3 linked regions of the Diceros bicornis minor genome follow. The protein of the gene in region 2 interacts with the protein of the main gene of each other region in a pairwise test. Links are inferred from orthologs where the notes say so. Each region holds a gene or a part of one and is shown on either strand. Other genes may lie near its edges.

The links.
Region 1: the proteins of KAT5 (region 2) and ODC1 interact in binary tests that used the Homo sapiens proteins (3 or more experiments, as listed by UniProt). The two-hybrid records come from large-scale screens. The link is inferred for Diceros bicornis minor from reciprocal best matches to the Homo sapiens genes KAT5 and ODC1.
Region 3: the proteins of KAT5 (region 2) and GAPDH interact in binary tests that used the Homo sapiens proteins (3 or more experiments, as listed by UniProt). The link is inferred for Diceros bicornis minor from reciprocal best matches to the Homo sapiens genes KAT5 and GAPDH.

Annotation. Positions count from the first base shown.
Region 1 is NC_080751.1:69,739,630-69,744,625, reverse strand, and holds the start of ODC1 (ornithine decarboxylase), read right to left. Parts: upstream 2,641-4,996; 5' UTR 2,507-2,640; intron 1,170-2,506; exon of another isoform or gene 1,036-1,169; intron 74-1,035; 5' UTR 1-73. UniProt on the Homo sapiens protein: Catalyzes the first and rate-limiting step of polyamine biosynthesis that converts ornithine into putrescine, which is the precursor for the polyamines, spermidine and spermine.
Region 2 is NC_080770.1:7,514,107-7,519,102, reverse strand, and holds the start of KAT5 (histone acetyltransferase KAT5), read left to right. Parts: upstream 1-1,637; 5' UTR 1,638-1,832; coding exon 1,833-2,010; intron 2,011-2,334; coding exon 2,335-2,403; intron 2,404-2,494; coding exon 2,495-2,631; intron 2,632-2,891; coding exon of another isoform or gene 2,892-2,918; coding exon 2,919-3,074; intron 3,075-3,163; coding exon 3,164-3,238; intron 3,239-3,347; coding exon 3,348-3,422; intron 3,423-3,969; coding exon 3,970-4,218; intron 4,219-4,295; coding exon 4,296-4,385; intron 4,386-4,996. UniProt on the Homo sapiens protein: Catalytic subunit of the NuA4 histone acetyltransferase complex, a multiprotein complex involved in transcriptional activation of select genes principally by acetylation of nucleosomal histones H2A and H4.
Region 3 is NC_080756.1:55,148,723-55,153,718, forward strand, and holds the start of GAPDH (glyceraldehyde-3-phosphate dehydrogenase), read right to left. Parts: upstream 3,200-4,996; 5' UTR 3,139-3,199; intron 2,880-3,138; 5' UTR 2,862-2,879; coding exon 2,839-2,861; intron 1,055-2,838; coding exon 955-1,054; intron 873-954; coding exon 766-872; intron 645-765; coding exon 554-644; intron 428-553; coding exon 312-427; intron 219-311; coding exon 137-218; intron 1-136. UniProt on the Homo sapiens protein: Has both glyceraldehyde-3-phosphate dehydrogenase and nitrosylase activities, thereby playing a role in glycolysis and nuclear functions, respectively.

The sequences.
Region 1 (4,996 bases), on a different chromosome or scaffold from region 2:
TTTTCACAAAGGTGATTCTCCAGAAATTCCCAAGTCCTACTGAAGATGCCCTCGGCGCAGCAGGGGAAATGTTCTGATAAACAAACACAGAATTTGCTGTCCACCTTCTTAGGAACACATCAAATTGAAAGATCAGGCACTGCTCTCTCGAGCACACAGAGCGACTCAAGCACCCTCCAGACAGCTCCCTCACAGGGTCTGGGAATCCCAGTATTCCTAGTGTAAGTCACAGGACTCCAAAAACCTCTACAGTATCTGAGGACACCACAGAGTCAACACTTCAGATTTTTTCAAAGCAGCACACTACAATTCCATATACCGTGCTGTGAATCTCAAAATAAGCATTTCAAATATTCACACTAAAAAACACAGAATGCAGGTTTCAGAAGCTTTTCTGCATTTAGTTCACTGATACGGAAAAAAGCCTTACGAGGGTCAGCTTACTTTTATTTCAGAGCTGTTTCAGCTCTTCAGAAGCTTAAAATAGCATTACAGGAACTACTGAGTGTTGCCATATAAACATCCTGCTATTTCCTACTTTCACTAAGTCTTACACAAAATAATTTTTAGTGTCTAATAGGCATCATGGAAATGCCTAGTGCTCTCAACTTACTGATTGCTCTTAAGTTTCCTGAGACTTTTATGAGCTAATTTTCATGCTGAGCATGTATTTTTAAAAATTGCCATCTTCAGATCAACATAATGTATTGCCAGTTGCGGAATCTGATCAGAAATCAGCATTCTTGAACCAGTGTTGCCTACTAAATTAGCAATTCTGGGAACCCCAACTGTCCTTACAGGCACTCTAACATTCGCTTAGCTAAGAATGATAATCATACGGGAATAATTTTTGGCTAACTTAATGAATAACAAAATAAGCAAGCATAAATGAACTAAGAATAGGCAAAAATAAAGCTTGAAGCAATCAGAGCCACTGTCCTTACTTAGCCTTCGTGAAATGTGACACTGGTGAATAGCTTAAAATTACTGATTTTAACCTATTTAATTCCTGCCAGGTAGGGCTTTCTTCTTTTCCACTGTGCAACCCGCTTCAGTGCCTGCAGCCTACGGGCACAGAGGCCAGGCAATGGTTCAGGGCCAGTTTGCTCTGGCATGGGGCACTATGAGAGGCCCAGGGGGACGGGCCTGCCATAAATCCAAACCCATGCACGTTGAAACTTGTTTTAAGACTTGATTTAATGTGACTTTCTGGCACTGTCAACCTCCTACGTTGTCTAAATCACCCCTAGCGGAAGGCAAGAGACTAACGCCAGCAAACCCATTTTGACTATTTAAATAACATTTGAATAGGCTCAGGCGGTGACAGATTAGGTGGTTTAGGGTTTTGTTAAACGTCTTTAAGACAGTGTACAGGCTTAAACATGGTAAGTTTTTATTTCTTTCAAATATACCACTATTAAATATTTTGCTTTCCCATATCTTTTAAAAGCTTTAACAACCTGCAATATAGAGAAATTTCACCCAACAACACCTTTTGGTGTTCTCTATAGCTGTATAACTTAAAATGATGAATCGAATCAATCGATCAGCACAAAACAGCACTTTTCTGGTATGAAATTCTTTACTGCCAACTGGGTAATGTTAGAAGAGATCGGGATTAATTTAAATAGAAACTGAAAAAATTTCACAACTAAATTATGCCCAATTTTAGGTGTGAATAAAATCAACACATTCTTTGTCCTCCCTAGACACTTCTAAAACGTTCTGCTCCCCACACTTTCATCAATCATTTAGGATTCTCAAACAACACAATTAGCCTTTTTTGAAACCCTTGGGGCTGGCTCCTACTTGTAAGTCCGTTCGCCTGAACTGGGATCTTAATATTCTAGGCTTTTCTAAAACCACTAAGTCATTCAAAGATTCCTTAAATAGACAATTTTAAGTCACGGCTGGCCGAGTATTTATTATCATAGCTACTACAAGGCTATCTTAGCTCTAAAAATTCCGGCGGGTTTCTATATCGGGTCATTTGCTCTGTACATAGAGCAAAACTAAAAACTAAAACAAAACAAAACAGAAAAAGAAACTCTAGGGCAACAAGGCAGAATGATACGTCTCATCCTTATAAAACCGAGATGAGCGATGGGAACCCCGGGACCTGCACGGGCCTGCTTCTTCATTCCTCTCCTGCACCTGCTACCGCGCTTGCCACATGGCTAAAAAAGAATAGCGGTTGCAGGGACGACCGGGCCTTCCCGACAGCTTCCGGCTCCGAAGCCCTCCCGGCGTGCTTCGGAGGAGGGCAAACGCGGCCCCTGCGGCCGGGCTGCCCCGAGCCGGGGCAGGCAGGGGCAGGCCGGGCCCCGCTTCTCGGGGGAACCGGGGCCGGAAGGCAGCGGCTCTCCAAGCTTAGGGTCGGCGGCCGGCTCTGCGACCACGTGTCCCTCGCGGCTCCGGGTCTGTATCCGGCCCGGTCCCGTCCCGACGCGAGGGGACACGTGGCCGTTCCCCTGCAGCCCCCCAACCGCCGGGATGCCCCTCTTACCTAGAGCGCGCGGGCGCCGCGGGCCGGCCCCATGGAGACGCCGCGAGCGCGCAGGACCGTCGGCCGCCCCGCCGCCCCCGTCGGCCGCCTACCCGCCCGCCGCTCGCTCCCTCCCGCGGAGGACCGCCGGCCCGAGGTGGCGCCGGAGCGCTGGCAGACGGGCGGCGGCGGCGGAGGCTGAGCTGACTGACAAAGCCGCCGCGCCGCCGCGCCGCTACTTATAGCGCCGCGCGTGTCGTCATGGAGACGCACCAGCTCAAACCAGCCGCGATCGGTTCCGTCCGGGCGTCCTCCGAGGGGGGGCGGGGCGCGGCGGCGGCCAACCCGGGGTCGGACGCAGGGGCGGGGGGCGAGGGCGGCTCGACGTCAGCGCCTCCGAGCGCCGTGCCCCTCCCGGCCCGCGGCAGGTCCGCGCACGCGCACCACGCCGCAGCCCCGGGCCGTCTCGCGCCGCTCCCTGCCCGCGGCAGGCCAGCGCACGCGCACTACGCCGCAGACGCTGGGCCCCGCGGGCGATGCATCCGGCGCCGGCACCCGCCGCGCGCCGCCCGGCGCGCGCCCGCCCGCCTTCAGACTTGGGCCAAGAGCTGCCGCCGCAGAATTGCAAAACCCGCCGCTGACCGCCGCCGAATTTCAGCATCCGCGACACGCACAACTGTTCTTGCACTTGGCATTAAGTGCCTCGTGCCCTCGGGCAGAAAAAGGAAATCGCCGGCGCGAGCGGGCCACGTGGAGCCGGCCGGGCGGACTCTGGCCCCTTCTGCCCGGCGCCTGCATCCCTGTGGAAGGAACCTGGAAGTGATTCTGGCGCCACTCCACCAAGAAGGGGGCAGAGACATTGACTCTGGGGAAGGGGCGTGCGGAAGGGCACCTGGCAAGTTAGCGGCGCCAGTAAACCGTGTCTGACATTTCCAGCTAGATGGCAGACAGCAGTGGACCCGCGGAGATCCACGTTGAAAAACGTCCCGCTTTTCAAGCCAGAGACTCGTCTAAAGGCGTTAGGGGAAGGGGTGGGAGGTAAGGGGTCTCCACTGCCCTTTACCATATGGGATGGCGCTCATCAATGACTAGCATCTTTAAGGGCAACCGCAGTTGGCACGCTTTCAAAGTTATGTAAGTCCTACACACCAGCAGTGTCTACGCAATTGAATACATATGGTAAAAGTCGCCTAGGAATTTGGTTGTCCCTAAGAGAGCGCAGCCAAGGCCTCTGGTGGAGGACTGTGCCTCTCTGGGGGTGCGGGCCACCCCCAGCTGCCAGCCCCAGGGAGGGGCTGAAGGCATTGGGGGCAGAGTTTTTTCTTTTATTCTTACCATTCGTTCCCTTGAAGACAAAATCCAACAGTTACGTCCCACCCTATCATGTGGGTTGTGACCGACCTGAGGGCTGCCGGTAGGAGTTACAGAACGTGTGACATTAGCCCTGGCCACGCAGTGGGTGCAGGGGACGCTGGAGGAGCTCAGCGCTGTAGCCTGGCCCTGGCCCCAACTTGCTGCGTGATATTGGGTAAATTACCTCCCTTCTCTGGGCCTCAGAGGAGACTGGACTAGATGACCCGAGGAGTACAACACCCTGTGAGGTTTTGAAAAATCTTTGTACTGGCCCCCAGGCCTGGGGCATAGTCAGTGAATACTTGTCTAATGAATGCTGAATGAGTGAATGATCTGACTCTCCCTGGAGCGCGCCTGGCTGCGGCAGAGTCGAACAGGGAGAACAGCAGTGCATCTTCCTATGTGGAGGGACATGGTGGGCAGAGCTCGCTTTCCTCTTGAGCACCCTGATCCACATTGTATACGTCATCCTTGAGCCGCCCTTGGGTGCTAGAGAGGGGAGTTATCTCCATCCTGACAAACTCAATCCCTATGGAAGGATGAGATTAACAATCCCATCAGGGAGCATTATAGCCCCAGGCGCCAAATGGGACAGCTTTGATTCCATGGTGAGCACGGAGGTATTTGTCCCCCTCTGTGAAGGAACAGTTTGTTCCAATGACACACAGAGTTTTCCTTTTTCCTCACTCTCCGGAAGTCTCCCGTGTCCAGTGGCAAGGCCAAGAGAGGAGCACTGTCTGCACTGCCCGACTTTCGGTGGCACATCAATCAACTAGTCGTTGTGAGGTGAACACTGTCCCCGCTCTGCAGCCTCCTTCTGGCAGAGGGGACTGGATGTCTTAGCATGTGGGATTCTGGTAGCAGCCGGGCATGCAGGGAAGGACAGCCAGCCCCCATCCTGCCAGCAGCTTGCCGCTGTGTGACCTCAGCCGCCTCCCTGACTCTCTGTGAGCCTCTGTTTCTCCCACAATCAAAGGAAGGGTGTGGGCCAGATCTATACCTCAGTTCTGTGATTGTGTTTTAGATTTAGAAGTATTAGCTGAACATAGGGGCAAGTTCTTGATTCAGGAAGCCAGATGGTGTGTCCCTCTGCTGCACATGTGCCACTTACACCCCGGTCACCCACACACACTGCCTCTCCTGCTAGCCCACCCCAAG
Region 2 (4,996 bases):
CTGGGATGAATATGTGGAAAGTTGTGTATATAAGGATGCTTTTTATAATTTTTTATTTATTTTTTTCCCCCAAAGCCCCAGTAGATAGTTGTATGTCATAGTTGCACATTTTTCTAGTTGCTGTATGTGGGACGCGGTCTCAGCATGGCCGGAGAAGCCATGCGTCGGTGCGAACCCGGGATCCGAACCCGGGCCGCCAGCAGTGGAGTGCACACACATAACCGCTAAGCCATGGGGCCGGCCCTAAGGATGCTCTTTATGGCACTGTTTGTAGGAGGAGAAAATTGGAAATAACGAATATTCGACAACAGGAAATTGGTAATGGCAGCCAGGGTGCATCTAAACAATAAACATTATGTAGCCATTAAAACAGTGCTATAGAATATTTAGTGACGAGTGTTCAATTTATGTTGCTAAGTGAACAAGCTGGTCACAGAACAGTACACACAGTAAGAGCTTCTGTTTTATTAAACAGACAGCACAACAGTCTATAAAGCAAGGGTTGGCAAACATTTCCTGTAAAGGACCAGACAGTAAATATTTTAGGCTTTGTGGGCCATATCTCCTGCACGATTATTGTTTTAATATGAAAGGACTCATAGACAAAATGTAAATGAGGGGGTAGCTCCAATAAAACTTTATTTATGGACGTAGAAATTTGAATTTCATAATCTTCAGGTGTCACAAAATATTCTTTTGATTTTTCCCCAACCGTTAAAAATCATAAAAACCATTATTAGCCCATTGACTGCAGGAAAACCAGCAGAGGGTTGGATTCTGCCTGCAGGCCATAGTTTGCCCACCCCTAGTCTAAGAGACACTCAACCAAAATATTCCCTGTGGACACGTCCCCTGATGATCTGAGGTTATACTTTTCTCCCCTTACTGTGGTCTGTTTTTCTGGAACAATTTCCCCGCAGGTAACTGCACAGTTCATCCCTTCACCTCTCTAAACCTTTGCTCAACTAACACACTTCCATCCAGGTCTGCCCTGAGCACCCTACTCAAAATTGCCATCTACCTACCCATCTCCCTTAATTTCCGCATTTTTTTTTTTGTTTCCCATAACACTTATCACTCTTTAATAAACTAAATAATTTACTTTTTAATATATTTATTGTTTATTATCTATATCCCTCTTTTTCCTCCAACCCCCAAGAATGTAAGCTCCATGACAGCAGGCTTCTTTATTCACTGATGTGTTCCAGGCTCCTAGAATAGCGCCTGGCACATGGTAGGGGACCATTAAACATTTGTTGAACGTTATGAATGACGTCACACTACTTTTAAAATTAGAAACCCAATATACAAAACAGCAAACCTAGAAATCTTCCGTGAGTCTCCATCCCTAAGAAATGAAGTCCATAAACTTGGCCAGGTACTGAGGTCCCTTCCCAGTCCCGCCCACCTCCCCAGCCTCCCAAACCCTCCAGACCCGCCCCCCGCCGAGCACGCGCAGTTCACTCCCGGCGAGACCTCCCAGTGCCACTAGGAGACGCCCGAGCTCGGCCGCCCCCAAAGCACAAACACTAGTCGCACGTGACCCGCAGCGACGTGACCGGCGTCGCACTTGGTGGGCGTCACGTGACGGACTCAGCTTTCCTCCAATCGCTATGCACGTTATGGGGATTCCACCCAAGACCCGGCCCGAGACTTAAAACACCCCATTCTCCCGCCACCCAGGCAGACCGGCTCCCTGCTTCCACCTGGGCGGCGGTGTCTCCCAAGGGTCCTCTTCCAAAGCGTCTTTGGGAGGCCGAGGCCTACAGCGCGCTCAGTCCCGGAAGTGACGTCTCCCAGAGGGGCCGGAAGTGGCAGTGGAGGGAGGGAAGATGGCGGAGGTGGTGAGTCCGGTGCCCGGGGCGGGGCGGAGGGAGCCAGGGGAGGTGGGTAGAGCCCGAGGCCCCCCAGTAGCCGACCCTGGCGCCGCGCTGTCTCCCCAGGGGGAGATAATCGAGGGCTGTCGCCTGCCCGTGCTGCGGCGGAACCAGGACAACGAAGATGAGTGGCGTGAGTGACGTCGGGTGGGCGGGGCTAAGGAACCTAAGGGCGAGGGGCGGGAGAGAGTCAACCGAACCCTCGGGAGGGGGAGGGGCCTCTAGAATCCTGGGGCGGGCGGGGCGCAGATACTCAGGAGGGGCGTGCCTTTTAGCTCCGGGATGGACAGGGCGGGGCTTGGAGAGAGGGCGGCACTTGGTGACTAACGGGGGCTTGGGCGAGAGCTTCCAAGTGCTGGGGCTTAGAGATTCGGCCTGGGGGTGGAGTTCAGGTCGTAGGAGGGTGGAGCATTATGGCCAGGCCTGTCTAAGGCCGCCGTCTGTGCTGTTCCCACAGCCCTGGCCGAGATCCTGAGCGTGAAGGACATCAGTGGCCGGAAGCTTTTCTACGTCCATTACATTGACTGTGAGTTCTGGGCTGCAGTGAGGCGGGGCTGCAGGGTAGGGTTGGGGGGCAGCTTCTGGCATTCCCTCCTGAGCCATCCCCACTGCTGCAGTCAACAAACGCCTGGATGAATGGGTGACCCACGAGCGGCTGGACCTAAAGAAGATCCAGTTCCCCAAGAAGGAGGCCAAGACCCCCACCAAGAACGGACTTCCTGGGTCCCGCCCCGGCTCTCCAGAGAGAGAGGTGGTGAGTAGGTCCCCTGCTTCACCTCTTCTCTTCTGCCTCCTACTTCTCTCATCTCTTGGCCTCAGTGGCTCCTGGATGGGCAGGAGGCAGTGCTCTCCCACCCTGGCTTCAGCTGGCAAAGGACAGGGGCCAAATTACAGATGTAGCTTCGAGTCCAGTGGCTCTTCCTATGTCCTTGAGAGGGCAGAGGGTGGGGTTTAATCATTTCACGCTGAGGGGCCCCTACTCCCTTTTCCATCCCACCGCCAACCCCACCCCAGAGGAAGACCCTGGACCTATCTCTACAGCCGGCCTCCGCCCAGGCCAGCGGGAAGACCTTGCCAATCCCGGTCCAGATCACACTCCGCTTCAACCTGCCCAAGGAGCGGGAGGCCATTCCCGGTGGCGAGCCCGACCAGCCGCTCTCCTCCAGCTCCTGCCTGCAGCCCAACCACCGCTCAACGGTACCCTCAGCAATTCCAGGGACCTTGCTTTCCTCTCAGGTCCCACCTTCTCTACCTTCTGACCCACCTTTCTTGGTTTCTCTCTACAGAAACGGAAGGTGGAGGTGGTTTCACCAGCAACTCCAGTGCCCAGCGAGACAGCCCCGACCTCAGTGTTTCCCCAGGTGAGTCCCCCAAACCATCTCTTCTCCCCTGCCTTTCTTCTGCCCTCTGGTGGCCCCTTTCAGGCTCATCTCACAGCCACTCTTTCTCTTCTTACCATCTTGCCTGCAGAATGGATCAGCCCGTAGGGCAGTGGCAGCTCAGCCTGGACGGAAGCGCAAATCGAATTGCTTGGGCACTGATGAGGTGGGTCTGGGGAAGAGAGAAGCTGTGTGAAAAGTGGAGGACACAGGCAGGGTGGAGTGTTTAGTGACTAGTTTAAAAATAAACAAGGGGTGGTGGGCAACTACGGTATTGGTGGGAATAAGAACCAGGCAGATGGGGCTAGCCCAGTGGCCTAGTGGTTAAGTTCAGTATGCTCCGCTTCAGCGGCCCGGGTTTGGTTCTGGAGTGTGGACCTACACCACTCGTTGGTGGCCATGCTGTGGCAGTGACTCACATACAAAATAGAGGAAGATTGGCACAGATGTTAGCTCAGGGCAAATTTTGCTCAGCAAAAAAAAAAGAACCAGCCAGAGCTCGTTCAGATCAGGCATTGGGTGATCTTTTCCAAGTTTTGAATGAAAACTTCCCAAGTCTTAGTTTGTTTATCTGGAAAGGGGACTGTACTACCTCTGCCATAGGGTTGCTGTTAGGCTTGAATAAGGAAACCGCTGGGAGGGCTGTGTGAGCTGTAAAGTGTCCTGCTTGAGTTGTCTCCTGTAATCTAGTATCTTCCACTGGCCCTGGACAGGACTCCCAGGACAGCTCAGATGGAATACCGTCGGCTCCGCGCATGACCGGGAGCTTGGTGTCTGACCGAAGCCACGACGACATCGTCACCCGGATGAAGAACATTGAGTGTATTGAGCTGGGCCGGCACCGCCTCAAGCCGTGGTACTTCTCCCCGTATCCGCAGGAGCTCACCACGCTGCCTGTCCTCTACCTTTGCGAGTTCTGTCTCAAATACGGCCGGAGCCTCAAGTGTTTGCAGCGTCACTTGGTATGAGGCGTCCTACAAGGCTGCCCTCCTAGCACCCCCCACCCTCCCTCCACCCCTGATCCCCCTCTCTTTCTCAGACCAAGTGTGACCTGCGACATCCTCCAGGCAACGAGATCTACCGCAAGGGCACCATCTCCTTCTTTGAGATCGATGGACGTAAGAACAAGGTAGGGGCTGAGGGGCACCGGGCACTGGGGAAATCAAATGGGCAGCTTCTTCCTGCTCAGGAAAACACTAACTGGCCTGGCCAGCAGAGCAGTTCTCCCCATTTTTATTGAGTTCCTGCTATAGGGCAGGTGCTGGGAGGTACAGAGACAACCAGGAATTCAACAGAATCTCTGCTCTCTGGGATCTCACAGTCCGTGGGGAAAAGACATGCCAACAGCCACTTAGGTGCCAGTGTGCTAAGTGTCATAAACAAAGGGTGGGTTATCAGGACCCAGGGGAGGTGGTCACCAGAGCTTCACATAGGAGGTGACCTTTGAGCCTTGACATGGAGGGTAAGTGGGTATCCTGCAGGGCAGGCCTGGGCGTACAGAGACTGTGTGTGTGAAAGGCCAGGAGCCTTCTGGCTGAAGGGCAGAGAGGATGAGGCCAGGCTGTTACCAGAGACAGCACAGGTGGTGGGAATGTGATCAGTTGAGGAGGAGTCGGGGACACTGCCAGGTTTGGGGTTACAAACGTGCTTCAGTCTGTGGCTGTGGGAGGAAGGAGGGAGTAACCTGGAGGACCATTGAGAGCGAGACTCCCCCGTTCCTGGGACCAGGAGGGCGGGGCG
Region 3 (4,996 bases), on a different chromosome or scaffold from region 2:
TTAAGGGTTAGAGTGACCCGAGCCAATCCCTTGGAACCCCCTGTGTCCCACAGCCCTAGACTATGTTCTAAGGAAACAGAAGGATCCAATTCTGGGTGAGAAATGAATGTGCTCTGGTCACTTTCTCCACTCATACCATGAGTCCCTCAACGATGCCAAAGTGGTCATGGATGACCTTGGCCAGAGGAGCCAAGCAATTGGTGGTGCAGGAAGCATTGCTGAAAAGAGAGAAAGAGCATTCCATCTTGTAACATGTAGTACTATCTGACCACTCCTTCATTCCCCTCTCAACTCCCCTCCGCCATGCTCACCTGACAATCTTGAGGGAATTGTCATACTTCTCATGGTTCACACCCATCACAAACATGGGGGCATCAGCAGAAGGGGCAGAGATGATGACCCTTTTGGCTCCACCCTTCAAGTGAGCCTGCAGTAGAGGAGGCATTACAAACCCAGGTTCTATCTTTCCAGGTTGAAGCCAGCCCCCTGCCCCCTTTCTGCTACACCAAATCTCAGGGTCAACTCCCCCCTCTTTAGCCTCCCTGCCACTCACCCCAGCCTTCTCCATTGTAGTGAAGACACCAGTGGACTCCACAACGTATTCAGCACCAGCATCACCCCATTTGATGTTGGCGGGATCTCGCCTACAAAGGACGACAAGACAAAGCTCAGGGACATGAGGTACCACGTACCCAAGGTGGTCACCCCATTCTAGTACCTCCCCAAAGGCAGATTTCTTCTTCCTGTTTCGTCTTCCATACTTACTCCTGGAAGATGGTGATGGCCTTTCCATTGATGACAAGCTTCCCGTGCTCAGCCTTGACTGTGCCATGAAACTTGCCATGGGTGGAATCATACTGGAACATGTAGACCTGGAGGAACAAATGAAGGCATCAAAGGACTGTGCTTCAGCCAGGCTCTGCTCCCCATACCAGCTGCATGGGCGGCACTCACCATGTAGTTGAGGTCAATGAAGGGGTCATTGATGGCGACAATATCCACTTTGCCAGAGTTAAAAGCAGCCCTGGTGACCAGGCGCCCAATACGGCCAAATCTGAGGGAGACAAAAGGTGAGAAGGCATGAGGAGGAGGAAGTACAGACTTCTACCCTATCATGTATGTAAGCAGCCCTAGGCCAACTCATCCTCTTTCAGAGGGAAGATGGCCATCCCACCACCAGAGAGCTCCAAGAGGTCTAATTTTATCTTCCTCCAGGCACAGCTTAGTCATAAAGTGAAGGCTCCTATCCTTTCCAAGAGGTGATCAGGCTCACAGACTTGCCCACCCCCTAGCCATCTGAAGTCCTTCAAGGAGAAACAGCAGTGCAGGGTACGCTGCTGCCATCCAAAGTTGGGGCACATGCCTGGCACATGGCATTCATCACCCCAGCTATCTGCCCTGGGAAGGCTTGTTCCTGTCTGGCCCAACTTCAGGCTACACCCTCTCAGGAGCAAGACTGTGCACTCAGCATCACCAAGCTCAAAGGGCAAGAGTAAAGGTCGCAAGTTAACTGGATGAGGAAAGCCCACCCATCTTCCAAGTCCCTCCCACAAAAGGGAAGGAGACAGGGAAAACATGGTTTCTCAAGCCCCTAATCCCTGGGCTCTAATTTGCTAAACTACCCGTCCTTCCTAGCTCTTTTCCAAAAATCAGGAGCAGTAGCAACAGATGTGTGTGGGAGAGAAGGAGGTGGAAGAGAGCAGACTGGTCAGGCCCCCAGCTGCAGAAAGGTCAGGCAGCTATATTTAACCTCAGATTAGGGTGGAGTGGGGATCTGGTTTCTGGAAGATGGAATAGGGAGAAGGGCAGGATTCCCAAGGCTCACAGACACCTAATCCTCCCAGTGACCTTTACGGCCTGGCCTTTGGGGTTGGGTCAGCTCTAGGCATGGATGAAAGAAAGGCGCTTCAGGGAGAGGCCGATGAAGAAAGGGGCTGCTGCTGCAGGAGCCATTTTGTGGTGGAAAATTTCTAACTCCCCATGACTCAGCTCCCCCAACATGGCACTAAGCCACCGCTGCCACAGCTCCCCCCCCCAAAAAAACATGCAAGAGGATCCCCATAAATCCCCGTTTTTGATCCATCAGAGAATCATCTAAGAAAAGCATTATCCCTGAGGGCAAATTCAGCTGGTTGTTTAAGGGATGGTCCAGGGTTAATATGGTCCCAGTTCTGAGGTCCAGCTCTTTTGAAAGCAAGAGCGAGGAAAGCCTTGCCTCACCTACTTTACCGGATAAAGGCGACTCCACCCCATAGAGGCAGGAGTTGGAGGGTTAGTCACAGGCAAGGGAGGAGGAGGAAGACTGAAGAGCTAAGGCAGGTTTCCTAACGGTGGTTCATTCATTTCCTTCCCAGTTGCAACATGGCGGCTGGGTTACCGCAAATGAACCCTCCCACGCTGTGCCTTCTGCATCCCCCTGCTGGGCCTGGGCCTGGCTAGGTGAGGGGAAGGAGGCTGGTGGGGGGAGAGGCTCCTCTCCAGCACATGACCTCGCAGGGCGCGAAAGGAAAAAAGAAGCCCCAGCTAGGAGATTAAGGGGATGGGTCCAAAGCAAGAACTGGGGACTCGTCTGCCCATGGTCGGTGGAGTGGAAGACTCCGGGCAAGCTGTCCCTGCAGGAGTGGAGTTACAGCAAGCGCAACAGCTGGGGGCGGGAGACACGAGGCCCTTTGAGGCGGGAGCCTCTGCCAGGTCTGAGCGCTGACCTTGAGTTCTCCTCGGTGGGGTCGCTCGACCATCCCACCCACCTTCCCCACCCGCTCGCAGAGATCCGGGTAGGGCAAACTGCTGGGGGCCGCAGAACTCAATGCCCCACACCCAGCCCATTCCCGAACTCACCCGTTTACTCCGACCTTCACCATCGTGTCCCGGGGACGCGGCTGCGGGAAGAGGAAGGCGAGCATTAGCACGCGGGGGCGGGAAGCGCTGGAGTCCGGCCGTCGCCCTCCCCGCCGCTCCCCTCCCCCATGCGTCCATTCCCAACCCGCGTTTCCGCACGTCCGGCCCCTGCAATGCGGAGGCCCGGCCGCGCACACCCCGACCCCGCACCGCGCAGCCGAGCTCCTGGCCTGCGCAAGCCCCGCGCCCCTTTCGGAACAGTTCCTGAGCCCTTGGTGGCCCCGCTTTGCCTGTTTTTACCTAGCACTGCGCAAGAAACACGGCTATCCGTGGACCGGGCAGGAACAGAGAGCACAGTCGCACACTGCTGTCCCAATTTATAGAGGCGAGGGAGGGGGGCCGGGGCGTGGCGACGCGGCCCCGCCTCCTGCCGGCCCCCAAGTGCCGGCACTGGGGCGCAGAGGCCTGAGCTACGTGCGCCCGTAAAACCGCGAGTAGCCGGGCCTGCCTTTTTTTTTTTTTTTTGAACCCGCCGGCTCTTCAGATGTGCCCGCACCACGCGTGTGGGCTAGGGACAGAGAGGGGGAGGGGACTGAGACTGGCCCAATGGGGGAGGTGATCGGTGATGGTGCCTAGGACGGGACTGTGGCATGAGGAGACTGTGGACTCGAGGACAGTGGTCCTGGTGAGAACTGAGGATATCCAGGAGCCAGGGAAGTTAAAGTTGCTGCACGGATGAAACGGGAAGATTTTGGGAGCTGGTGGGATGAGGAATTGGAGCCGGAGCCCGGGTCACGTTGGCGGCTGCACACTGCCACCCCCTCCCCCTTCTTTCCAAGGCTGAGGCACTTCTCCTCGAGGCTCTTCGGTAGTGACATAGGAACAGCCAAGTAGAAGGCCGGGGAGGGGCCAATCCGCCTTCTGCGGGGCCCTTCCCAGCCCCCACTTCCTCCTCCCCATCTCCTGGCTCCAGGCCTCTCTGGGCCGGGGGCCTGGGCTGGGCACTGGGCAGTGGGGCCTGGAGAGGAAGGAGGCTCAGGAAGATGTTTGCGGGGGGGAGGGTTTCTGCGCTGAAGGTCACGCTGTCCTGCAGCTCGGGCAGCCTGGAGACCTGATAATTGGGGCAGACAAACCAGGCCCTGTGTGCACCAGATGCTCTCCCCCAGGCCAGGGCCCCAGCGGGAGGACGGATCACTCTTGGGGGCTGGGTGGTGCCTCCCACAAAGTGTCTCCTGGGAAACCCGCGTGCCGCGCCGCCCAGGCTTGGAGACAATGCCCCTTTCACCCCTCCAGCCCAAGGCAGAGAGCGGGACGTGAGGGCGGAAGTCCCTCCCCACTCTGGGACGTGCGGCCCAGCCCTGGAGCCAGGGACTCCCCTTCACTGGCTGCGCCCGCCCGGGGCTGTTGGGGGCAGGGTGAGGAGTCCAGAGTAGGGAAAAAATGGGAGGTCTTGGGTACATGGTGGGAACAGGTCCCCAGCCCCTTCCCACACGTGAGGTAGAGGAGAGGATCCATTCCCCTCCGCGAGGGGTCAGGATGCCTGGCTGTGCCAAGTTTGTGAGCTGAGGTTGGAGAAAGGACTGCTTCTGAGCACGTGAAAGGAGTGAGGGTTTAGAAGGGGGTGGGATGGAATGGACGTTGCCTATCAGCAGGTGCTGGGGGACAGGGATCCTGGGGCCTCTTTGCTGGCCCAGCGTAACCTGAGACCAGCCCCCTTTTCTAACTGACAGGCTAAGTTTAGCCCGCCTGGTGATAACCTTTGCTTAAGAGGCAGAGAGGACGCTGTCGCACACCCAGACTCCAGCCCCAGTCCTTTCCCTTTCTGGGATTGCCCTCCCTCCTTGGGGCCCCAGAGCCACGGCTGTGCCTGTGCCTGTGCCTGGCAGCCATCTGCATGATTGGTGCCCAGGCTTTTCATGAACAGCAAGAACGGGGCCAGAGGGCACCTAACGGTGAGAGGAGATGGGAAGCGCCACACTGCAGAGTCTGCTGAAGTGGACTCAGCTGCTCCTGTTCCATTCCTGCTCAGGCTCCACCAGGACCATTAACCCTTTCCTGACAAGGGCCTTAGGAGCCCCTCCATGTTCCTGCACCACCCAAAGCAAGTGTCTGAGGTACTGTCTTCCCCTTCGCCTCATGCTTGTCATTTTTGATTATT